Cricetulus griseus: one gene and its partners. The protein of the gene in region 3 purifies or fractionates together with the protein of the main gene of each other region. This does not show direct contact. Links are inferred from orthologs where the notes say so. Each region holds a gene or a part of one and is shown on either strand. Other genes may lie near its edges.

The links.
Region 1: the proteins of Ppp2cb (region 3) and Sike1 purify together in Homo sapiens (affinity purification with mass spectrometry; 3 studies listed by BioGRID and IntAct, counting the BioPlex papers as one, with this or other methods). This does not show direct contact. The link is inferred for Cricetulus griseus from reciprocal best matches to the Homo sapiens genes PPP2CB and SIKE1.
Region 2: the proteins of Ppp2cb (region 3) and Cct6a purify together in Homo sapiens (affinity purification with mass spectrometry; 4 studies listed by BioGRID and IntAct, with this or other methods). This does not show direct contact. The link is inferred for Cricetulus griseus from reciprocal best matches to the Homo sapiens genes PPP2CB and CCT6A.
Region 4: the proteins of Ppp2cb (region 3) and Strn3 purify together in Homo sapiens (affinity purification with mass spectrometry; 5 studies listed by BioGRID and IntAct, counting the BioPlex papers as one, with this or other methods). This does not show direct contact. The link is inferred for Cricetulus griseus from reciprocal best matches to the Homo sapiens genes PPP2CB and STRN3.
Region 5: the proteins of Ppp2cb (region 3) and Ccdc6 purify together in Homo sapiens (affinity purification with mass spectrometry; 3 studies listed by BioGRID and IntAct, counting the BioPlex papers as one, with this or other methods). This does not show direct contact. The link is inferred for Cricetulus griseus from reciprocal best matches to the Homo sapiens genes PPP2CB and CCDC6.

Annotation. Positions count from the first base shown.
Region 1 is NW_023276806.1:53,971,223-53,976,349, forward strand, and holds the end of Sike1 (suppressor of IKBKE 1), read right to left. Parts: intron 4,414-5,127; coding exon 4,300-4,413; intron 1,674-4,299; coding exon 1,572-1,673; 3' UTR 1,112-1,571; downstream 1-1,111.
Region 2 is NC_048597.1:109,116,796-109,121,645, reverse strand, and holds part of Cct6a (T-complex protein 1 subunit zeta), read right to left. Parts: intron 4,365-4,850; coding exon 4,268-4,364; intron 2,962-4,267; coding exon 2,814-2,961; intron 2,768-2,813; exon of another isoform or gene 2,635-2,767; intron 2,343-2,634; coding exon 2,209-2,342; intron 1,452-2,208; coding exon 1,349-1,451; intron 506-1,348; coding exon 433-505; intron 343-432; coding exon 270-342; 3' UTR 1-269. UniProt on the Homo sapiens protein: Component of the chaperonin-containing T-complex (TRiC), a molecular chaperone complex that assists the folding of actin, tubulin and other proteins upon ATP hydrolysis.
Region 3 is NW_023276807.1:51,171,153-51,175,538, reverse strand, and holds the end of Ppp2cb (serine/threonine-protein phosphatase 2A catalytic subunit beta isoform), read left to right. Parts: intron 1-945; coding exon 946-1,064; intron 1,065-2,739; coding exon 2,740-2,812; 3' UTR 2,813-3,323; downstream 3,324-4,386.
Region 4 is NC_048598.1:150,652,116-150,656,965, reverse strand, and holds part of Strn3 (striatin-3), read right to left. Parts: intron 3,347-4,850; coding exon 3,213-3,346; intron 1,674-3,212; coding exon 1,498-1,673; intron 1,337-1,497; coding exon 1,289-1,336; intron 1,009-1,288; coding exon 887-1,008; intron 1-886. UniProt on the Homo sapiens protein: Calmodulin-binding scaffolding protein which is the center of the striatin-interacting phosphatase and kinase (STRIPAK) complexes.
Region 5 is NW_023276806.1:267,513,768-267,518,617, reverse strand, and holds part of Ccdc6 (coiled-coil domain-containing protein 6), read left to right. Parts: intron 1-145; coding exon 146-249; intron 250-2,251; coding exon 2,252-2,412; intron 2,413-4,850.

The DNA of each region.
Region 1 (5,127 bases), on a different chromosome or scaffold from region 3:
AGCATTAACACCAGGCAGAATTTATATGGCACAGGGCACTGAAAGCTCAGTATATCCCCAGGACTAAAAGGAAGATATTCTGGTGGCTAAGATGTAAAGAGGAACGTAAGGCAGATAAAGTGTACTGTGTACACTGCTGAAACAGACTATCTGCTAACACTACCATATTCACTGAAACCTGACTGCCAGCTGACAAGTGGCAGAGGACACCTGCTCCTGATGGGCTTGTGGAGTACACTTTGGGCACTTAGGGGATCTTTCAAGGCAAACAGCTGGAGCTGTCCACTACTCTAATTAAAGTCCATAGGTATTAATGGGATCAGATGGACTCAGAACATTCTGGATAGATTTTGTTGTTTTAGCTGGAATTAGTTCTTAGGACCATAACAAAGAATCTTTACAACACATAAAACACTAGATTCTTTTTCTTTTAAGACAATCTTTCTCATGTGGTATGGTGCTTAGTATCAGCAAATATTGATAGCATTAAGATTTCTTCAGCCATTTTGGGTAAACAAATAGTGTAAAAGGAATTATTTATAAATTTGAGTAAACCAAGACAGGGAAGGCTGGCAAGGGAATTAGTAGATCCTCCCTGCACCCGAATCTCAGTACTGTTCTCAATTGCCTGCATGGCATCAGGAACATAGTAACTTTCTGTGGGCGATAAAAAATGCTTCCGTGTAAAAACCAACCAGATCTAAGACAGCTCACTGCCGGTGATAAGCCATCCAAGCAGTGCCATTTGTCACCATCATAGCTATGTTTCAACTATGACGCGTGGAAATCTGATATGTTCTTCATAGTTGGCAAACCACCTAAGCTGAAGATTCCCTAGTCAAACAAAATGGAAAACTGACTACTTGATCATATAAATAAAAGCTACTGTTGGCATTTAAATCAAGTGCTCAGAATTCTCTGAATGACTAAATGATCCTTGGGAGGAGGAGGAGAAACAACCCAAACCTAGGTGACTTGTTTTCAAGTATATTTCCTGGGGACTACTAATAGATTCTCTCAAATTAAGAGTAAAGACACCTGACCACGAAGGGCCAACTCCTAGCACCAGAGCGAATCCAAACTCCACAGGTGAATGATGATGCAACTCAGAGAGTCTCACAATTTGCTTCTGTGGATCATGTTACTTTTAAAGTGGAAAAAAAAATATTCAGGTTTACACCAAACATGTACTTTTTAAAAGTTTGATCTCTTAAAAATTCTTAGAAGTCAATTTTATAATCCTATATAAAATAAAATCACTGGTTTATAATAAAATGTTTAGGGTTTCAGAGATATGAAAAACAAAAATAACTGAAAACAGTTTATATAAATTCAGGTCCCAGAGTCAAACTAAACGGAATTTCTGACAAAGGAATGGTGAGACGCCTCTATTTTACTAATAAAACCCAAATTGTTTGTGGATAATGAACAGCAATTCCGAATTGCTAGCTCATCCCTCTGATCAACACTGAATCAAGTCTGCAGCAGGACACTTGAATGGACACATCTTAGGGAGAGACAGTCACTCCTCTCCTTGTCGGGCCATCTGCAGCCAGCATTCAGAAGTTCAGTTATTTGATGGGCTGGGAAGCGGGATCCACAGAATTTTCCTTTCCAACCTGAAGAGACTCACTGCTGATGGACAGTAATTCTCGAAGCTCCTTATTTTCAAGCTGGGGAAAAAAGATATTTCCTGTATTTTAACTGTTAAACAGTGTCAGAACATATTGTTTGGGGCCAGAAAGAAGAAAAATAATTTTAAAGTTTTAAATGATTAAAAAACATTTTTGAGACAGTCTCACTAAGTAGACTTTGCTGGCCTAGAATTCGATATGTAGATCAGGCTGGCCTTAAACTCACAGCTATCTGCGTGTCTCTGCCTCCTGAGTACTGAGATTAGAGGCGTGCACCACCACACCTGGACCTTAAATGTTTTTCTTCTTAGATTTACTTGATTATTGTATGTGTATTGAGTGTTTTGTCTACATGTATGCCTGTGCACCATGTGAATGCCTGGTACCCTAGAAGGTCAGAAGAGGACACTGGATGCCCTGGGTCTAGAGTTACATAAGTTGTGTTACCGCCATTTGGGGGCTCAGAATTGAACCCAGGGCCTCTGTATGAGCAATAGGTGCTCTAACAACTGAGCCATCTCTCTAGTTCACAATTCCACTACTACTTTTGGCACTTGACACCTGTCACTTCCTTTGATTTCTATCTAGATAGGGCACCTTACACTCCATCTTTATCATCTCTGTAGAAAATTCTCTTCTCTCTATTTTGGGATATGATCTGATGTAGTGGAGGTTGACTTGGAACTCCTGATCCTTCTGTTCCTACCTCCTAAGTGCTGGGATTACAAGTGTGTGCTCTTTACAGGACATATTGATAACTGCAGAGTTTCTAGCTTCACCAAAAGGTTGAACAGTATGATCAACAAATCCTCCACCATATAAACTGCTTCTTTTAGTACTCAACTCATTTTGACTTATGTGTTATGTGTGTTTTGCCTGTACCTATTTATGTGCGCCATCTGAGTGGACATCAGATCTCTGGAACTAGAGTTATAGATTCTTTTTTTTTTTTTTTTTTTTTGGTTTTCGAGACAGGGTTTCTCTGTGGCTTTGGAGGCTGTCCTGGAACTAGCTCTTGTAGACCAGGCTGGTCTCCAACTCACAGAGATCCACCTGCCTCTGCCTCCCGAGTGCTGGGATTAAAGGCGTGCGCCACCACTGCCCAGCTAAGGAACTTCTTCAAGTTCCCACGGCAGCACTTGAAATAAGCAGTCAAACCTTCAAATCTTCTACTGAAATGTATTCTCTTCATATTTTTTTACATTCAGACACATAAAATAACATTTAAAAACAACATGGTTTATTCATATTATTTATGTGTGTTTGAATGCATATATGTGTCTCTGTTTGTGCATGCATTACATACATGCTTGGTATCCTTGTGGGTCAGGAAAGGGAGTCAGATCCCCTGGAATTAGTGAGGGATTATTGTGAGTGGCCATGTAGGTGTTGGAAACCAAACCCAGGTCCTCCCAAGGGCAGAAAGTGCTCTTAATTGCAGAGCCATCTCTCCAGACCCTAGTATGTTTTTTTGAGACAGGGTCTTATACAGCAGAGGCTGTCTTCAAACTCACTAAGTATCCCAGACTGGCCTCAAAACTCTCGATCCTCCTGTCACTAACTCTTTAGCTCTGTGACATAAGTGTATGCTACAATACCTAGTTTATAAAGTGCTAGGGATCCAAGCCAGGGCCTCATGACTGCAAAGTAAGTACTTTATTATTAACTGAGCTACACCCCAGCTTCATTTCTACATCTTTTTTTTATGATATACTAGTTATTTTCTTAAAAGACCTCTTCATTTTGTGTGTGAGTGTTTTGTCTACATGTACACCTGTGTACTACTTGCTGTGCCAGCAGTTACAGACAGTTATGAGCTGGGATGCTGGGAATTGAACCTAAGTCCTCTAGCCAGTGATCTTAATCACTGAGCCATCTTTCCAACCTCCACTTTTTTTTTTTTTTTTTTTTTTTTGAGACAGGGTTTCTTGGTCTAGCCCTGACTATCCTGGATCTCACTCTGTAGACCAGGGTGGCCTTGAACTCAGAGATCTGCCTGCCTCTGCCTTCTGAGTGCTGGGATAAAAGGTGTATAATACCACTACCCAGCTTCCATACTGCCGCTTCTTGACCATTAAGTTTAGATATTATGTATCTGACTTCCTATTTTGGCACATGAAGGATTTCAGGTTACATATGACCTGTTCTTCTCTCTCTGCTTTTTAAATATATATTATTAACAATATATATTAAATATATGATATGGTATTATACACACACTCACACACACCCCTTCTATCTCCCAAAAGCTGGGGTTACAGCTATACACCATCATACTCAGTATATCTGAGGTACTGGTTACCGAACCCAGGGCTTATGCTACACAAGCATTTTACCAACTGAGCTCTGTCCTTTCAGCCCCACAATTCCACTGATTGATGTTGATTGCATTGTTTCTATGAAAAGGGTATAATGGAGAAATTTTAATTTTAAACGATTAGGACAGAGAGAACATCAATACTGCTAGTACTAATTGCTAACATAACACTACTAAGACAACATGGGAGGATGATGCAAAACAATTTTGAGTTTTAGGCCAGTCCAGGCCACATTCTGAGACAACACCCTCCCTCATACACTGCACTGATAGTATAGTGATGACATATTCTGAGATCCTATAAAAACTGCTAAAAATAAGGGTGAACTTAAACAGCAACCACCTTACCTCTAGTTGAGCTAGTTTTTCCTGAATCTTGCAAAACTGATTATCATCCACCTGAACTGCTTTTCTCATCACTTCTCCCATTTCACAGATTCTGTCAATCTGACTTTCAATCTCCTGTGAAAGTAAGATAAAAAAAATAGTTTTTAGTTATTAAGACCATGAAAAGCATATGCATTATGAATTTTAAGTCTATTAAAAGCCTTGCAGAAATAAACTGGGAGGGGTTCATTTAGTACATACTATAGAAGTTACACTTCAATTACACTATCTTTTGAGCCACAATAATTTAAATCTGTGGTACGTCAAATAATTTCCATTTTTCTAAAGACCATTTGACACCCAGGTGCCAGGTGTGGTGGCACATACCCATAATCCTCGTCCTTGGGAGGCTGAGGAGAAAGGATTAGGAGTTAAGGATTAGTCCAAGCCAGCCTGGACTAAATGGGACCTAGCGTCCCCATCCCCAAGTAACAAAACAGACAATAACTCAAATATTTAGATATTTAAAGACATCCCAGTTCCCTAAAACTTGTAAGTCAGTAAAATCCACCTAATGGAATGGGAGATGAAATGTAAATTGTATCTTTCACTGTAGTAAATAGTAGCTTCCAATTTAAGAACTAAAAATTAAAATACACAATACATGCAAATATATAATAAGTAAGCACTGTAGAAACTAAAAACTAGTTAGTTTTTTCCAAATTAAATAGTAAGCAACTAAAACTAAAATAGAGGAACTGCCACAAAATGAACAAGACTCCCCGGTAACATAATGTGAATAATTTAATGAAATTAGTGACTACTTGCTATGTGGAAGATATGGATAAA
Region 2 (4,850 bases), on a different chromosome or scaffold from region 3:
ACACACTCATCTTAATATGTAATTTTTGTGTCAATGTAGTTAAAACATGTTTTTCAGTGGGTTAAAAAGGGCCCACTTTTTGAGCATATGCATACACTCAGTGAATGAAAATTTTTTTTTTTACAGTATTGTAATTTGAATAGGTGCCAAATGTCTTGTTCCTTTTCTTCAACCGGAAAGAGGAAATTCTTTTCCAAATCACTTGGACAAAAATGACCATTTTCCCACACCATTCTGTATTATTACAGATGCAGTGACAAGGGACTTCCTCAGCCTTTCAGAGAGGACATCCCCGCTCTCATGATCTCATCAACCAGGAGAATGTTGGTGGCGATCACAGTACTGGAAGGAAAAAGAAGACAGCTCAGACACTAACATGATTTCAACCTGCCCAACTAAACAATAACAGCTGGCTCAAGTTTCCAAACTCACCAGGAGTGAAGCAGCTGCTTCTTGACACAGTAGTTATCCCACACACCCATCTCTGCTGCCACCATTGGCTCACCTGAAAAATAAATACCACACCTTGAAACCACAAATTATCAGATGCCCCTTTCTTTTTAATTTAAAAAGTGATTTTTATTTCACATGCATTGGTCTTTTAACTGCACGCATGCCTGAGGGTATCAGAGCCCCTGGAACTGAAGTAACACCAGTTGTGAGCTGCCATGTGGGTGCTAGTACTGGAACCCAGGTCCTCTGGAAAAGCAACTATTGCTCTTAACTATCTTTCTCTAGCCCCAATCGAATACCTTTACCTTTTTCAAGAAATCATCCTATTTATGAACAAACCCCACCAATTCTAGAACAGAAAACAAGGACCAATTTGGACTATCTTAGACAGGATTTTGCTATGTAGTCAAAGACAACTTCAAATCTTTAAAATATGAAGCAACAGTACTGGTTATCACTGACTATTCACCACTCCTTTCCAGAATCTTGGCCATGTGGTTCATATCTCTTTATGACAAAGCACTAGCTGCTGAGCAAGCATTTAGACCCCCCTCTGCTATGGACTCATTCCTGTTGACTTCCCTCATTCCAGCAATCTCTTCAATTAAGTTAGTGAGTATGGACAGTAGGCCTTCTGCTTTATATTGTACATTTGTGTTATAGGGGCTAAAAAGCAGGGTTACGATCATGCCACTAGCTTTACTCCACCATTTAAAATATCCATCCCATGCCCCAGTCTCCATATCTAGTTGGTACAGTTATGGGTAACATCAACTTAGAAGGGCAGGACTGATTCCAAACCAGGGAGGCACAGCAAGATCCCCCAGGCATTTTCACTTTCCCCAGTTTTCCTGCATCTAATCTAGTCTACCCCCACAAAGAAGTACAATCTCACCTGTGTTCAAGTCCACACCGACAAGTTGACCCGATTCTGAATGTTCAGCTTGAACTTTAACTAATGTTTCCTGAAGGTCAAAACCAGAGTTCTGTGCAAGAACCTAGCAAACAAATTTAATTCTTGAAGAAACAAACTGAAAACTGAATGTTAAATAAACTTACAGTATTTCCAATTAAAAATAAGTTCCCTGAAAGCAGGCTTCTGACCTCCTTATGTGCTATAGCACACCCCTTCTTGCCCCAAATAAATAAACAAACAGGACAGTGGTTTGCATGCACTGAGATAGAACCATTCATTATTCATGTTCTCTCCAGAGAATAGACACCCCCACTCCCCCAGTACTGGTCATAAGCCCTCACCTTTACTGAGTAGCTCATGATGACAAGGCCATTAGTTTTGCTCAAGTAAAAAGAAGCTCATCCTTCAACAACCCATGCAAGCAATGGCCTACTGGGCTGCTGCCATGCAGTTCTGATCTGTCCACTTTGTCTCTTGCCTTGCTATATGGCTGCTAGTCTTCACTTTGTGACCAACCTCCATGCTGGCTTTCTTTTTTCCATTCTCCTCTGTACAGCTGTGGACACTTAGAGCTTGCCTACCCCAGGTGTGGTAGGGTGGGTGTTCTAAATTCTACCCACCCAGGTCTGAGGCAGACTATCTCTTGCTACAAACACTGCTGGCTGGCCTGAAATGTTATGTACACAGCTGGCCAAGACCAGCCTGCCTCTGCCTCACAGGTGCTAGGATTAAAGGCATGTGGCACCCTGCCTAGCTTGGCATAGTTCAGGAAACTAGCATAAACAAATGACTGCATCCCAAAGGTTGTCAGCAAGGAAAACTAAGGTAAATATTCAAACCTTGGGAATAATGAGCAAGGCATCTGCAAATGCCTGGACTCCCAGCTGAGCCCTGCCTTTCACGCTGGGCTTGTATTTAATCAGAGCTTCTGCCATTGCCACTTCTATTGCACCAGCGCCTGGGACAACACAGCCTGTGGACAAGGGAAGGAGAAGTCATAGAGAAACAAAACAAAACAAAACCCAACCCAGCAAATACAGAATAAAATTATTTCAGAACAATATTATTTAGTTATATGCATTTATATATTCTTGCAGTACTGGGTGATAGACATGTGGGTACATCTATCCTCATATGCTAAGTAGGTGCCTTACCAACAGTAACACCCCAGCACAGACCTGCCTCTTGAGTCACAATATGAGCAACCACAACCAAGAGCAAAACATTCTAATTGGTAGCTCAAGAGCCACCAGCTTTAATAATTTATTTGTACTTACTTTTAATAATGATATACTATTAAAAAAAACAGCATACCAATCATTTTAAAGGAAGACTTTACTTTTGCATGGTGTCTGGCTGTGTAAATTATTGACTAAAGAACACAGTATTCAGCCATGCCTTTAAGACTAAAAAGAGCACAAGTCAAGCACAGCATGCTGCTTACCATCATCGATAGCATTTTTGACGGCCCTCAAGCCATCTCTTATTGCATCTTTGATTTGAGTCAGTGTGTGCTTGTTTGGTCCTTTAACCAGTAATGTGACAGAACGGGGATTGTTACATTTCTCAATAAAGGTGAACTTCTCTTCGCCCTGGAAGAAGAGAAATTATTGTTAAAAGTTACCCTTGGGGCACGGTGATGCATGCCTTTAACCCCAGAACTTGAAAGACAGAGGCAGACAGGTCTCTATGAGTTCTTACACACCCAAGGATGTATAGTAAAACCTTATCTTAAAACAACAAAAAACCGCAAGGTTTTTTGAAAGGGAGGATAATCAGGCACAAGAGAAATTAAAAATTTAAAGTCAACTCATATTACATATAAACCACCAAGATGCATGAGAAGTAATTTTTTAAAGATGGTGTAACCACTAGCAAATTGCCGGGGTGTGGTAAATAACCCTCACACAAGCAACCTGGAATAAATTTAGTGAAAGAGCCCTATCCAGAAAGGTGGTGCTGACATTTGCCTTTAATCCCAATACTAGAGAGACCGAGACAGGAGGATGTCTGAGTTAAGGCCAGCCTAGTCTACAGAGCAAGTTCCGGGACAGCCAAGGTTACATAGGGAAACTGTCTTTTTTCGTTTTTGTTTCTCAAGACAGAGTTTCTCTGTGTAGCTTTGGAGCCTGCCCTGGAACTCACTCTGTAGACCAGGCTGGCCAGGAAACCCTGTTTTGAGAAACCAGAAAGCCATACAGTGAGTTCTATGCCAGCCCAGGCAACATAGTATTACTCTGTCTCAAATAAATACATAAAATTAGTCGGGCGTTTATGGAGCACGCCTTTAATCCCAGCACTCGGAAGGTAGAGGCAGGCGGATCTGTAAGTTCAAGCCAGCCTGGTCTCCAGAGCGACTGCCAGGATAGGCTCCAAAGCTACACAGAGAAACCCTGTCTCGAAAAACCAAATTGAATAAATAAATACATAAAATTAAGAAAAGCTGGGAGGTGGTGGTGCATACCCTTTTAATCCCAACACTCAGGAGGAACAGGCAGGTGGACCTCTAAGTTTGAGGTCAGCTTTGCTGACAAAGATTCCCAGAATAGCTAGAACTGCTACAGAGAAACCCTGCCTCAAAAAAAAATCAAACAAAAACTTGTTTAGGAGCAGGGCATTGGTGGCACAAGCCTTTAGTCCCAGCATTCAGAAGGCAGAGGCAGGCGGATCTCTGTGAGTTCAAGACCAGCCTGGTCTACAAGAACTTGTTCCAAAAAAAAAAAAAAAAAAAAAAAAACCGGAACTAGTTCCAGGACAACCTCCAAAGCCAGAGAAACCCTGTCTCATAAAACCAAAAAATAAATAAATGAAATAAAATAAAATCTGATTTTGAGTTTGAAATTTTCTGCTCAACCACTGATAAAGAAAATACTATTGTCTTTAGGAGAAAACACTTACCAATGTATACTCATAGACAAGACCTGCATGCCCCAAACAGTCAGGATTCAGGTCATCTAAGGAATTCAGAGCTATACCGCCACAAGCAAGTGTCAGCCTGTAACAGTGAAGCAATTATGTGAAATTTTAGTAAGCCATGTTGGTTATACTCAATTAAGACAACAATCTTTAGGAAGGAGATTTTCAGAATGACATGATCAAAGTGTATTGTTTTGTTTTTCCGAAATAGGCTATCTGTGTGTAACAGTCCTGGCTGTGCTGGAACTCACAGAGATCCATCTGCCTCCTGAGTACTGGGAGTAAAAGGTGTGAGTCACCACTGCCTGGCTGATGAAGAAGTTAGACAGTTGTGAGCAGCCATGTGGGTGATGTGAACCGAGCCCAGGTCCTCCTGAAGAGCAACCAGTGCTGTTATCCACCTCTCCAGCCCCATGACGAAACTGCATTTTAATGTATATATTAGTTTATGTAGGTTTTCCAGGACAGGATTTCTCTGTGTAACAGTCTTGGCTGTCCTGGAGGTAGTGTATCCTAAACAAAGCTCTTGCCATTTACCATAAACCAGTTGGTAATCAAGTTTTTA
Region 3 (4,386 bases):
TATTGTTAGTATTGTTAATATTGGTGGAACAAAAGAGAACGAAATCCCTCTAAACTAGCAAGGAATGACTTTAAGGAGGTGGGAACAAACTTCACCAGCCCAGAACAGTCAAGGAGCAGTGTAGGAGCATGATTATGAACACAGCATTGTAGTGCCATTAAACCTCATTATAATTATATAATCATAAATGTCAATGATGACTGGATACATTTTAAATATAATGACAAAGACTTACTTTCCTAAAAGTCAGAGACTTTGAAATTAGAAGATTATCAAATTTCAGTTATTATGAGATAAAACTAAAACATACTTAAAATATCACAAATTAAAGAATGGAAATGGTATGTTGTGAATCAAGTAGATAATTACCAAACATAGCCCTTGACGTGAGTGAGGAGTCTGGTGCGGGTGACCATTAGATTATCCAGGCCATTACTGATGAGCATTGGCTCAGCTCTCCCATGAAAGCTTACCCAAGTTGCTGTTTGCCCAATACTAGCTTCAAGATTTCTGTAGCAAACTTTGGAAGGCAGGCACTTTCTATCATGTCTCGGCACTTGGGACCCTAGGGCAATTATAAATTTGAGAATACTGTGACCAAATGGCAAAATTCTTTCTCAAAAGAAAAGAACAACAACAACAAAAAAAAGGCACGCATACACGGTAAGTAAGCAAATAAATAAAGTGCTTGGCAGAGTTTATGAGGAAAAATGAGATTACCATCTTTGTCTGAAAAGTTCAGTGTATACCTTAAGCTAAGATCTCAGTGGTTACTGAGATCTATAGACTCTTGTACCTAATAATTGTCCAGTATTCTGAGCAGGTACAGAAACTGTTGATCACAGGAGATAACATGATTCCGTAGCCACAGAAGTACTTAGGATTTGAGTTCTGTGTCAAGATTGAATTTAATGATGAAACAATGACCTTTTCTTACTGTTGCAGGGATATAATTGGTGCCATGATCGGAATGTGGTTACCATTTTTAGTGCACCCAATTACTGCTACCGCTGTGGGAACCAGGCTGCTATCATGGAATTAGATGACACTTTAAAATATTCTTTGTAAGTAACTGTACATTTTAATTTATGTAATCACTTTAGAGGGAAAAGGTAACTGGTAAAAAACAGTTAGGGGCTGGAAAGATGGCTCAGCAGCTCTGAGCCCTTACTACAGTCATGAGAACTGAAGTTCAGATCCCACAAAGACCTGTAACTCCAGCTCCAAGGGATCCAACACCCTCTTCTGGCCTCTAAAGATACATGTACATGTGTGCACAGAGTCATATACACACGTGCACGCATGAATAAAATTAATCTTCTTGGAATGAAAACCGTGAAAGAGTTCTGTTCATCGTAAAAATTGTTTTCTTTTGATATGCTGGGCATGCAACCATGGCCTCATTCATACATGCCAGTTCATTGCTATGCCACTGAGCTATACAGCCCAGAAAAGGGTTTTAATTATTTACAGTTCATTGAAATTTTCCCAAGAGCTTATAGGTAATGGAAAAACATTTAACCTTAAGAGAACCATAAGCCAGGTGCAGTAGTACACATACTTAATCCCAGCACTCAGGAGGCAGAGGTTGAGACCAGTCTGGTCTAAGCAGTGAGTTCCAGGACAGCCAGGGAGTACATACAGATACCTTGTCTCAGAAAAACAAACTAACAAGACAGAGAAACCTGTCCATTATAACTACTAGAGGCTTGCATCCCTTACTCACACATTATTCTAACAAAAACAACTATAGTGGAGCTGGAGAGATTGTTCAGTGGTTAAGAACACTAGCTGAGTTCAATTCCCAGCAACCACATGGTGGCTCACAGCCATCTGTAATGAGATCTGGTGCCCTCTTCTGGTATGCAGACAGAACACAGTATACATAATAAATAAATCTTTTTGGGGGGAAGAAAAAAAGAGACTACTTAGGGTACAGGAGTGATGCAAGTTAAATTCCCAGCACCTACATGGCTGTTCACAACCATCTGTAATTCCAAGGGTTCCATCTTCTGACATCTATTTAGTTAGTTAGTTAGTTATTTAGTTAGTTATTGGTTTTTCGAGACAGGGTTTCTCTGTGGCTTTGGAGGCTGCCCTGGAATTAGCTCTTGTAGACCAGGCTGGTCTCGAACTCACAGAGATCCGCCTGCCTCTGCCTCCCAAGTGCTGGGATTAAAGGGGTGCGCCACCACCGCCTGGCTCTTCTGACATCTTTGATCACTGGCAATCATAGCACAAAATTTTAGAAGAAGCTTAAAGTAATAAAACATGTACTACTGGGGGATGTGGCTCCACTGGCCCCTGCTTACCTAGCATACCCCACAAAATGAACCCCCCCCCAAAAAAAAAAAAGAAACAGATAACAGACAAAAAAGGCACTTGATAAAATTCAGTGTGCTTTAAATAAAATCAGTAAGCTACACAGAAGGAAACTTGCTGTGCCTGTAGACAAATACTCACCCTGATTTAGCCAGGTGGTGGTGAGAGACAGCACTGACCCAAAGGCCCTTAAATTGATAATAGTGTCACAAGTATTTTCTGCCAGGCACTAACAACCATGTTACCTAACTTTTCACCATAACTCTGTGAAGTAATATAATTTATCACAGGTAGTGACATGCTCAGAGTTATTCCAGCCACATGGAATGTAGTAGCAGAAGAATACAGAAAGGATGGCTTTGTCTAGTGAGTGTCTTAGTGGCTTAGCTGCTGATTCAATTTCTTTGTCATTTATAGTCTTCAGTTTGACCCAGCACCTCGTCGTGGAGAGCCTCATGTGACCCGGCGTACCCCAGACTACTTCCTGTAAATTCTTCCCCAGGACCTTTCTTTGTATGTGGAAGTATACCTGGCTTTTTAATATATATATATATATATATGTGTGTGTTATATATATATATATATTTAAAAACAAGTCATCTGTGTGTTTCTGTAACAAATTGTGATATGTCTTGACATTAAACTACATCATGGACCAAACGTGCCATACTAATGATGAGCGTTTAGCACAATTTGAGACTGAACTTACTACACTGTGTTCTAGATCAGTCTGCCTGCTGTGTTGTAGGAACCATTCTTCTTGGCTGGTTAAGCAAAAAGGGGTCACTGACTGCTTCATCTCCTTTGCACTTGGAAATTTAGTTACAGTGTTTAACTGGCATGGATTAATAGAGTCGGAGTTTTATTTTTAAGATTTCACAACCTGACTTCCACTTAATTCATTACCCTGTATTTTATTGAAATGTGTAACTAACTGAAGAAGAGATTCTTGGGAGTATGTTGTCATAACATTAAAGAGATTTCCTTTCATTTAAACTAAATTACTGTTTGATGTTGATCTGCATTATTTCTGTATATTTGTCATGACAGTGCTTGCATCCTATTTGGTGTACTGAACAAATAAACTTTCCAATTTAAACAAAAATATTTTAGCTGTGATATGCATTAAGTGGAAGCATCACCATTTTAAAACTTGATACAAATACTTAAGACTGTGGTTATTTGTTTTCCATTTACTTTGGATTTTAAGATGGTCATGTATAGTCCCAAATGACCTTAAACTCCTGGGTTCCCCTGGCTCTACCTCCCAAGTGCTAGGATTACAGGTGTAGGACACCTTGCTGAACCACAATTATCTGATGTGTAATAAAAATAAGCAGCTGTACTGACAGGATTTACATGGTAAGCTTAGGGGCTGGGGATTAACTCTGGTAAGGTGCTCATTTATATTCATTTCCAAGTTACATGCACACATGCAAGTGCACACACACACAAGTAATGCTTGTTTATAGTTTACATTTAGAAGCAGAACAAAGTCAAGTATTTGCTGATAACTTTAGGCCATTAAAAAATCCATTTTCACATTCCTAAACATTTCATTGGGTGGTCTGTATTAACTTATTCTTTTGGGTAGGAGTGGGGAGGGTTGAGACAGCGTTTGTCTATAGCCTTGGCTGTCCTGGAACTTGCTCTGTAGATCAGGCTGGCCTCAAATTCACAGAGACCCACCTGCCTCTGCCTCCCAAGTACTGGGAGAGAGAGTTCCAGGACAGCCAGGGCTGTTACACAGAGAAATCCTATCTCCAAAAACAAAAAAAGATAAAGATATCTTAAGACAGACTCTAAGGGTATCAGTACATACAAAAAAACAACAGCTCACACCCCAAATGTACTTGCTTACTGTAGTTTCAATATGCTCCCCAAAGATCATGTTTCAAAAACTTTGTTCCCAGATTTAAGTCAAAAGTACATAGGATTAGTCCACTCTGAAATTTCTTTAAAGTCTTTTAACTTTTTAGAAATACAGTGGTATCAACATTCCTACTTAAAGATTTTGAGTTGTAAAATACTGTGGTAAGGTGGATTCAAGAAGCAGAAATCACA
Region 4 (4,850 bases), on a different chromosome or scaffold from region 3:
GTTTTTAAATAATCATTAACAATGCTCACTTAATGTATTTGAACATGTTAACTCAAATTTTTAATCAAGAATAAGTTTCTCAAAGTGCCATTTGTAAAAATCAAACTTTTGTTTTACTTTTCATTTTGAATTAAGGAATTTTTGGCCCTGCATGAAATTGTAATGAATTATACACTGACCATCCTATCTATATTGTTTGATATCTTTCACTTAACATAAGAATTATAATACTGTCTCTTGAGTTTAAAAATGTGTTACTTCAATAATTTTCCCCTCTTCCTTCTGTTAACTGAAATTAGCATTTAAGAAATATGCTTTAAACATAATAAAGTACTAATTCAAGCACTAAAATACTCGTGGCATATTTCTCTCTTTTAAAAAACTATTTATTTAGCCAGGCATTGGTGGCGCACACCTTTAATTCCAGCACTTGAGAGGCAGAGGCAGGCGGATCTCTGTGAGTTCGAGGCCAACCTGGTCTACAGAGTGAGTACTAGGACAGGCTCCAAAGCTACACAGAGAAACCCTGTCTTCCCCCCCCCCCAAAAAAACCCTATTTATTTATTTATTTATTTATTTGCATTGGTGCTTTGTCTGCATGTATGTCTGTGTGAAGGTGTTAGATACCCTGGGAACTGGAGTTACAGACAGTTGTGCCATTGTGGATACTGGGAACTGAACTGGGTCTTCTGGAAGAGCAGCCAATGCTCTTGACCCCTGAGCCATCTCTCAAGCCATAATATTTGTCTTTTTAAATAAAGAAACTTTCTAGCAAGTAGAATTAAATGAACAAATTATATGTTTGAACAACTTTGTAATAACATCTGAACTACAGAATTCTGTCAGGTCTATTCACTGAAAAGATCCATTGTGCCCCTTTACTTACCATATGTATCATAGGGATCCACGTTAGGACTAGGCATATTCCACCACTGAATGGTTGCATCAATACCACCACTAAAACACTGTTCTCCATTAGAACTAATAGCTAATGAAAGAACAGGGCCACTATTATAGAAAGAGAGGAAAAATTACTTATAAATTCTAAGAAGAAACTCAAACCCCACATCCCTCAATCTAATCATTTATGAGGTTTTAGGTAAAAATGTACAACTGAAAAGTACTATTTGATCATATTCAAATATAATTAATCAAACAAGGCATTATTAAACTAATATATCTCCTTTAACACCAAATATTGGGGAAATTAGGTTTGGAGATTATAGTTGCTCATTAAGTACTATTTCAAAAAATAAACCAAAAAAAAAAAAAAAAAAAACCAACTTACATGTGGGCCCTAAATGTATAGATAGGTTCTACATCTAAAGAGGCACTCCTAAAAGGGAAAAAAGGGATGGGGGAAGAGAACACAGTAAATCATTGTGAATCACTGGCTGACAATACAGACATACTAAAACACAGGAATAGTAAAGAATAATAATTATCCATATGAACAAAATTAAAAGAAGAAAAAACAATCAATATTGAAATACTTGCTTTTTGGCAGGAACTGTCTTTTGCAAATTCCAAAGTTTCAGGGTGTGGTCCTCAGAGGCAGTAACCAGCACAGGTTCTACAGGATGAAAAGCTAATGCTCTCACTCCATCAAAATGACTACGTAGTGTATACTTGGGGTTCCAAGTCTTTCGAAAGGCATCTTTATTGGCCGGCAACTAAAATGAAAAAGTGCACTATTTACAGGTAAAAGTAACGAACTGGCAGGCATGTGGACTTTCTGTTTTCTTTTTGGTGTGTTTAAAACATATAAAACTGTTCCACTAAAATATCCAGAAGCTGTTTTAATGACCTTAAAAACTCCATAGCAAGTCTATCTTTATGTAAGAATTCAGAATATAAGAATTCAGAAAAATAATTTTGTAAGACTTTCAAATATCCAGGTAGAAGAGTTCCTTTATCATCTGTTTTCACCTAATCATCAAAATAAATAAATAAATAAATAAAATAAAAAATAAATCCAAAACTCCTATCAAATGTCAGATGAGATAGATGAGAACAGAAAACTGTCACTGCTGTAATAGTTTACACAAAACCAAAACAGAATATAAACATTACCAAATACTCAAGGTTACAGTAAACACAATAGTTTCCATTTAGGAAACTGACCAGTATATGAACAATTCCAAGGCAGACAGTTAAGGGACTTTTAAAACAATGAACTAAAAACTCCTTAAGAATATTTTCCTACATCTTTCTTTTTTTTTTTTTTTAATTTCCTTGAAAGACAGAGTTTCATGTTGCCCTTGAGCTCATATGTAATTAACCTTAACTTCCAATCCTTCTGGCCCTGTCTCCCAGATACTAGGACTACAGGAATGAGCTACGCTGCCCAAGATTATGTGGTGCTAGGGATCAAGCCCAGGGCTTTGAGCAAGCACTTTTTCCTAATCCTTCATAATAATAAAGCTCAATCTTTTCACCTTTACTTCTGTATCAGTAAAGACAAGCTGTTAATCCAATTCTAAAGCAGTTAAAAGTTTACTCAATTTAGTTGTAAATATGCTTTAAAAATTATTAGTAACAATAGCCCAGCCCACCAAGGCAAATATCGTTACAAAAAACATCCTAAATTAAGTCTAAATTTCTTTTAATGTTAAAAAAGAAATTTTTTAAAAAAAGGAAGAAATTTGCTGAAAAACTAAAGTGAATGCAAAAAAATCTAAAATATAGTTAACTCTAATCGAGTGTTTATGCTTGGAAAATATCAACACCTGTCTAATACTAACACAGTTCTTCCTATCTCCTTCTTCTAGCCCTCAAGTGAAGCTAAACATTTAGGAAATGATACAAGCTAACTTTGTTGTGATTGACAAAATAAGAGCTCAAAAACAAAACATGGCTTTTAAGACTTTTCATGATGGCAAAAACCTGATTTCGATAGTATTTATTTTGTTAACACTAAAATATGGCTTTAACTTAGTAAGAGTTAATTACTCAAGATGTAGTTAACAACCAATATTTTAAGGTAATAACCCCAAACTCTTACCTAATCCACCAAAATTCCTAAGAAAGATTTATACACCACAAAGGAAAAAAACTTAAAGCAAAATTACATGTTATTTCAAATCAACACATCAACACACTTAAACATGTTTTCCATGCACCTTGACATTAATTCACTGTTATAAATGATTCCAAAGAATAAGGAGCCTTCTATTAAATCATTAAAAAATTAAAAATAAAACTGCACTTACATCATAACTATAGTCTGCATCATTTGTTACCGTCAAGTCTGCAAGGTCTCCAAGGCCCAGTACACTTAACAAAACATCATCAGAACCCATAATAAATGACTTGCCTCCTCCAGATGGAAACGTTATTGGTTCAGCTATAAAGAACAAAACCGCTTCTTAAATGCTGAAAAATCATACAGTACAATACAATATTGTGGGGAATTTAAGCACGAAACAGTTACAAAATTCAGCAATATTATGAATTCTACTTCCCACTTCCACACACAAAAAAAGTCCTACTACTGAATAGAAATAAACCAATGTCCTGAAACTACAACGTAGAAATCTTCCACAGACTGAATAAACACCATATAATTATCCCAGGATGGAAGCAGAACACAAAGATCTTGTCTATTTAGATCCCTTACCATCTCGGTCAATTTTAACAGGACAGTTTTTGATTAAATAATCAGGTTATCAGCCACTTATGGGAAACAGATGTCTATCAACCTCAGAATAGCTCATACAGCAGTTTTGTTTTGTTTTGTTTTTTTAAGTCAGTAAGTTACTACAAACACTCTGATATACAAGCCTATCAGTTAGTGCCAGAGATGGTCCAGGAAAAGATGGCTCTCCTAATAATGTCAGTGTCCTAAAGGGATTGCCTTCCAACCTTAAAACATTCCCTATGGCTTCATTTTAATGCCCTCTTTTTGTATATTATAATGTTGCTAAAGTAAGAAACAAGTAATATACATTAACGGCAGAACTTTAGATTTCAGATCAGAATGGGTACTTCAATATCAATAAAAACTGAAAGGGAAGTTTCACTTTCCTTAGTCGTCTCATCTGTGCCTTGTGTATTATTACAACTTTCTACAGTGATACTGCAATGCAAATTAAAGTGCAATCATTTGAATGACTATAACAAGAGAGTTAAAAGTGTAAGCAGCAATTCAATATAATTTTAAGCATGTGCTTTGCAATCAAAATAGTAACATTAAGATGGCAAGAAGGAAACACTACTTACAAAATAACTAAATATTTAAAATCATGAACCAATTAATAAAAATTATTAAAAAAACTCAAGACTATTATAAAAACACTTACAAAATGGTATATATTTAATACACTACAGGAAACAGGTATAATGAAATATACTAATACTAATTTACTAATACTAAAATTAATTCATACAATTCATATATACTATTACCAAAGTAAATTCATTTTTAATTTAGAATTTTTCTTCATTTTATTGTGTAATTTGACTCAAGTGGTCCCTTAAATAAGGTGTAATTCAGCAACCAATCTAATTTGAAAACACTTCATAAAATATATATACAATATGTGTGAGATGCTAAGTGTCTCACACATCAAACCATTATTATTGACTATGATTATTAAGCCATCATTCAATGGTTAGACTTGAATCTGAACAGTACTGATCTCTCCTATCAATCCAGTACATAAGTAATGATAATACAAGAAGCAGCTAAGAACTATAAGAATTACATGGAAGTAAGTAAATTTTACTTTATAATTTTCTACCATTCTAAAAAATTTAAGTTTATAATTTGTTTCTAAGACAATTTAAGACAAAATGCTACAGTTCCTTTTACTAGCAACTATACAAACTTAAAAGTTCAAAAAAATAGC
Region 5 (4,850 bases), on a different chromosome or scaffold from region 3:
TACAGTTATAGGAACTAGTTTGATCCAGTGCCTGGTCATTCGAAAGCTGTTTTGCCCGCTCTTTCTTTCACATTCATGGTGAGATCCAGCCAAAGATACTCCAGTGCCCTGGCATTCTCAGTAAAGCTGTTCCCTTTTCCTCTAGTTGAGACGAGAGAAGATTGACCTGGAAAACACATTGGAGCAAGAACAAGAGGCGCTGGTGAATCGTCTGTGGAAGAGGATGGATAAGCTGGAAGCTGAAAAGAGGTTTGTTAGCCTTGCTCGCGGGCCTGCGTGCCTGCGTGCGTGCGTGCGTGCATGCGCGCATGCGCGCGCCTGCCTGCCTGCCTGCGGGCATGGGTATTTCGAGTCTGTTAACTAGGGATAACAGTGGGACATGTGAATTGCTTGGGTGACACAGACCATCCTAACTTGTTAAGGGAAATATATGTTGATCTCTCTTATGGTTGTCTCTGCTCTATGCGTGGCTCTTCTCTCTCAAGTTCGGGATTCTTTTTATTTGTTGATACAAGGCCAAGTCAGAGTCATCCACGGTGCCACAGTTCACCTGTTAGTGTGCATCGCTAAGATTTACTTAGTTGGGGGATTTTCATAGAAAAATGGCTATCCGTTTGCTTTTAAACCCACTGTAAATAAATACCTGTGGATATTTAATACTTGTGTGTTCAGTGTACATACACAGATATAAAATGTCACCCAACACCAACAACAGACATTTCCTAAATTACCTTGTTGCAGATTGCCTTCGTCCTCGTTTTTGGTCACTCTGTACTTGGGGGTTGGAAGGGACAAGGCTTCTGGGAATGGCAGGAAGATCCTGTCTCGGAGCTTTGTATGGGATAAAGGCGAGTTTCCTTTTAAGTTGATTATTAGTTCCCTGCCCCAGAATCCTGTGTTTGTCTCTGAGAAGCCTGTGCCATTCTGTTCCACACTGTTCTGAGTTCATATGTAGAATTACAAACAGCCAACCACAGAGCTTAAGAAAAGTGAAGATTTGAAATATATGTTAGGAAAAATCCTCCAGCCATAACCACTCAGCACTATGGTAGCAGTTCTAATACATTGAATCTTGAAGTTATTTTGTGATTGCGACCACATTTACCTATTAATTTTCTCAACTAGGGTAGAACTGCAGGTAAGTCCGTTTACAGTTGTGTCAAATTGAGAGGTAAACAATTCAATATAAAGCAAACCCCAGGAGCCCCCAGCAGCTTATAAAAGGTGGTTAAAGAGGGTTGCAGTTAGCCTGCCTTTTTGGAATGCAGTTAGAGGCTTTATGTACATATAATTGTATTGTTATTGAACTTAGCTGTAGGAAGTGGTCATTTTGTAGGTAAAATGCTGTTGAGCCTTTTCTGAGTTTTATCTGATAATGATAATTGGTAGGGAAGTGGGCACACCAGCCATTAACCAAATAATTCTGACTTGGTTTGGGTGTTTTTTTTTAACATTTTATTGTTGGCCCCAGTTTTCCAAACCTTCCACCCAAGTTTTACTTGGGAGGAGCTCTAGTGGCTATTAAGTAACTTCATCCTCCGGGGCAATTCATAGCAGTTCCTAAATTTCACCCAGAGCATCAAGAGGGGAGAATTTCTTTATTCCCTCCATCCTCCGCAGCCAGCTTGCTAACCATACAGTCAGCTAGGTTTGCTGGACTCTGGGCATAGTAACCAGAAACGTGTTCAACAGACTTCACAGTTATGATTGACTGCCAGGGTCACTCAAAGAGCAGAAGGAACAGGGATGATGGCTCCGTGGTGTCGTATTTGCTGCACAAAGCCTGAGGACCGGCCTGAGTTGAGATTCCCAGTACCCACATAAAGCTGGATACACTAGCCCATGCGTGTAATCCCAGTGTGCTCCTAAAGTGAGATGGGAGGTGGAGACAGGAGAATTCCCAGAAGCCTGGGGCCAGTTTACCTTGCTTAGCAGCAGAGAAGAAGAGACCTCGTTGCAGAGGGGAGAGGCGAGGACCCATACCTAAGAATGTCCTCTCACTTCCATGTGCGGGTACCCCAGGTACACCTGTGCTAACACCTGAACACACAATAAACACAACAGAAATGAGATCTTGCCAGTCTTCCTGTTTGACCAGTGATAATTGGTCAGGATGGACAGAGAGGTGTCAGTCTGTCCAATGGGCGATTTTCAGGCCGGCTCTCGGCTCAAATGCTGAATAGTGTTCTACCGCAAACTGTTATTCATTGTTTCTTTTTTTTTTTTTTTTTCCTTTTTCTTTTCCGTGAAGAATCCTACAGGAGAAACTAGATCAGCCCGTGTCTGCCCCACCATCACCTAGAGACATCTCCATGGAGATCGACTCTCCTGAGAACATGATGAGGCATATCAGGTTTTTAAAGAACGAAGTGGAGCGGCTGAAGAAGCAGCTGCGGGCTGCCCAGTTACAGCGTACGTGGCTCCCAACCCCCCGAGTTCCTGTCTGCTGAATCAGTGCGGGTACCAAGCCCACAGCCGTCCCTGTGCTTACTAGTGAACTCGTGGCGGCAGCCGTATCCATGGTGTACTTTATTAGCAGTGCGCAGACATTTGTACACGTGTTAGCTGTCTTTCTGGGATATAGTTTTAAAAAGAAAGCGATCACGGGGGGGGGGGGGTTGGCGGCAATAATTTAGAATACTTTCAGAAGATAAATTCTGATAATCTCAAGAGGGGGGTCACTGAGGTAGCAGGATCCCGGATATCTTCCTTCCTTCCTTGCCGAGATAAAATTCTCTGACTTAAGGGAGAATGTGCTCATTTGGCATGTGGGTTACAGCTCACGGTGACATGGGAAGTCACAGAGGAACCGGTCACATCATACCCATGGTTGGAAATGGAGAACGGTTGATAAATGCATACACGTGCTTGGCTACCTTCCTATTTAAATATGTATATATACATATGTATATATATTATGACTTCTTTGGGAATTCCGTGTCAAGTGTTTTGATTATAGTCACCATTTGCTCCTCCCCCTAGCTCCTCCCTCGCCCCCCAGCTTTGTGTCTGCATTTTATTTAACTCCCCGAACCCACTCATGCTGTCTAGGTACCCAAGTGGGGAGCCATCCATTGCAGCAGAGTCAGCCTGCTGGGTCCTGACTCCGACCTAGACCTCAAGAACACTGCCTGGGAACAGAGTCACTCACTATGCATGGCCTCCCACATCGATGGGTATAATTAAAATAATCCCTCCGTACCATGTTCTGAGTCCCCTTTCCATGTGGTTCTGTTACTGAACTTGGCTGGGGGAGCGGGTCACAACCTGTAACCCCAAATCAGGTCTGGCTACTTGTCCTCAGTGAGGCGATAAAAAGGCCAAATTCATAGTGGAAAGCAGAAAAGGAAGATTTAGTCACTGGCCACATTGGGGAAGGGGACAAAGAGCCAGCTAGACCCCTCAAGTCTGTTTTCCAGGTCCTACGGTGAGATAGAAGTTTACATAAGGGACCAAGGATTTGCACATGTAAGCAGCTCTGGTCAAAGCATGGTCCCACCCCTGGTGGATGTACCTTTGGGTTTGAGTCTCATCTTGTACTGTACCAAATCTCTTCCAAGGAGATAGGTTCCCCTCTGGCTGTCTCCCTCTCCTTCTCCCAGTGTGAGATTCCTGGGGGAAATTTCAATGTCTTTGGTGCCCACTGTTTCAGTAGTCTGATAGAGTAAAAGACAAAAGTGTTTTAGAGTGTTTGCATTTCTGCCTGTTAAAGTTCTAGACGGTATCAAATTGACAATTAAAACTACCAGGCCAGGTGACCTTTGTAGTCTGTTTGATGTGCTAATGAATCTGCACAGGGGCTCTCTGCACTTCTGCTCTGTGAAGGGAGGACTGTGGAGGGTGTTTGCCTTCCTTACTGCTGAATCTAACCTCAGCTGACATTTGCGCATGGTATTTGCAGAATAAATGCTTTTGAAATTTAGGCTTAATATTTTGAAAAAGGCCAAGTTGTGGAGTTGGAAGTCAGGGTCCTGGGTTTCTGAACTTGTCTGGGTCTCTCTGCATTTTTAGGGCTCTGCCCTCCTCCTGCAAATGTTTGGTTGCAGACATCTCTTCCATGAGGTAAAATAGTGGGAGAAGGGCTTCCCTTTCCCTGTTACTGCCAGGTGAGCAGTCTGCACAGGCCCATAACTAGTGTTCTCCCAGATGTGTGCGCGCATACAAAATTGCTTCATACCAAGAATTAGACAGTAATCAGGACACTCTGCATCTTTCTCTTTGAAAACACTTCTGTTTTTTCAGGACAGGGTTTCTCTGTGTAGTTCTGACTGTCCTGGAACTTGCTCGGTAGGCAACTCAGAGATCCACCTGCCTCTGCCTCCCTAGTGCGTGCTGGAGTAAAGGTGTGCACCACCACTGCTAGGCAAAAACACTTTTAAAAACAGCCAGTCTTGCACTTCTTCTCCCAGATACCTACCCAGCTGCTTTGGACCCTCGTTAAAGCCTGACAAAGGATCCCCTTTCAGAATATGGTTATTACATTTATTTATTTAATGTGTGTGTGTGTGTGTGTGTGTGTGTGTGTGTGCGCGCGCGCGTGCGTGCATGCATGGCCTGGTGCTCATGTGTTGGTTTCAGAACAACTTGTGGGAGTAAGTTCTCTCCTTTCACCATGTGGGTTGAGGGATCCGGCTCAGGTCAGCCGACTTGGTGGCAAGTGTGCCTCTTATCTGAAGGACCATCTCCCCAGCCCCAAATGACCCTGGTTTATTGTTTTCCTCCAGCTGCAGTGAGCATGCTTGTGTACACATCTCCCTATGCACAGGCACCTTGGGCAGATCCCAGGCAGACCGGTCCACTCAGTAGAAGGCACGTTGATCATCTCACTGGCTGCTACCTTACTTCTCCCC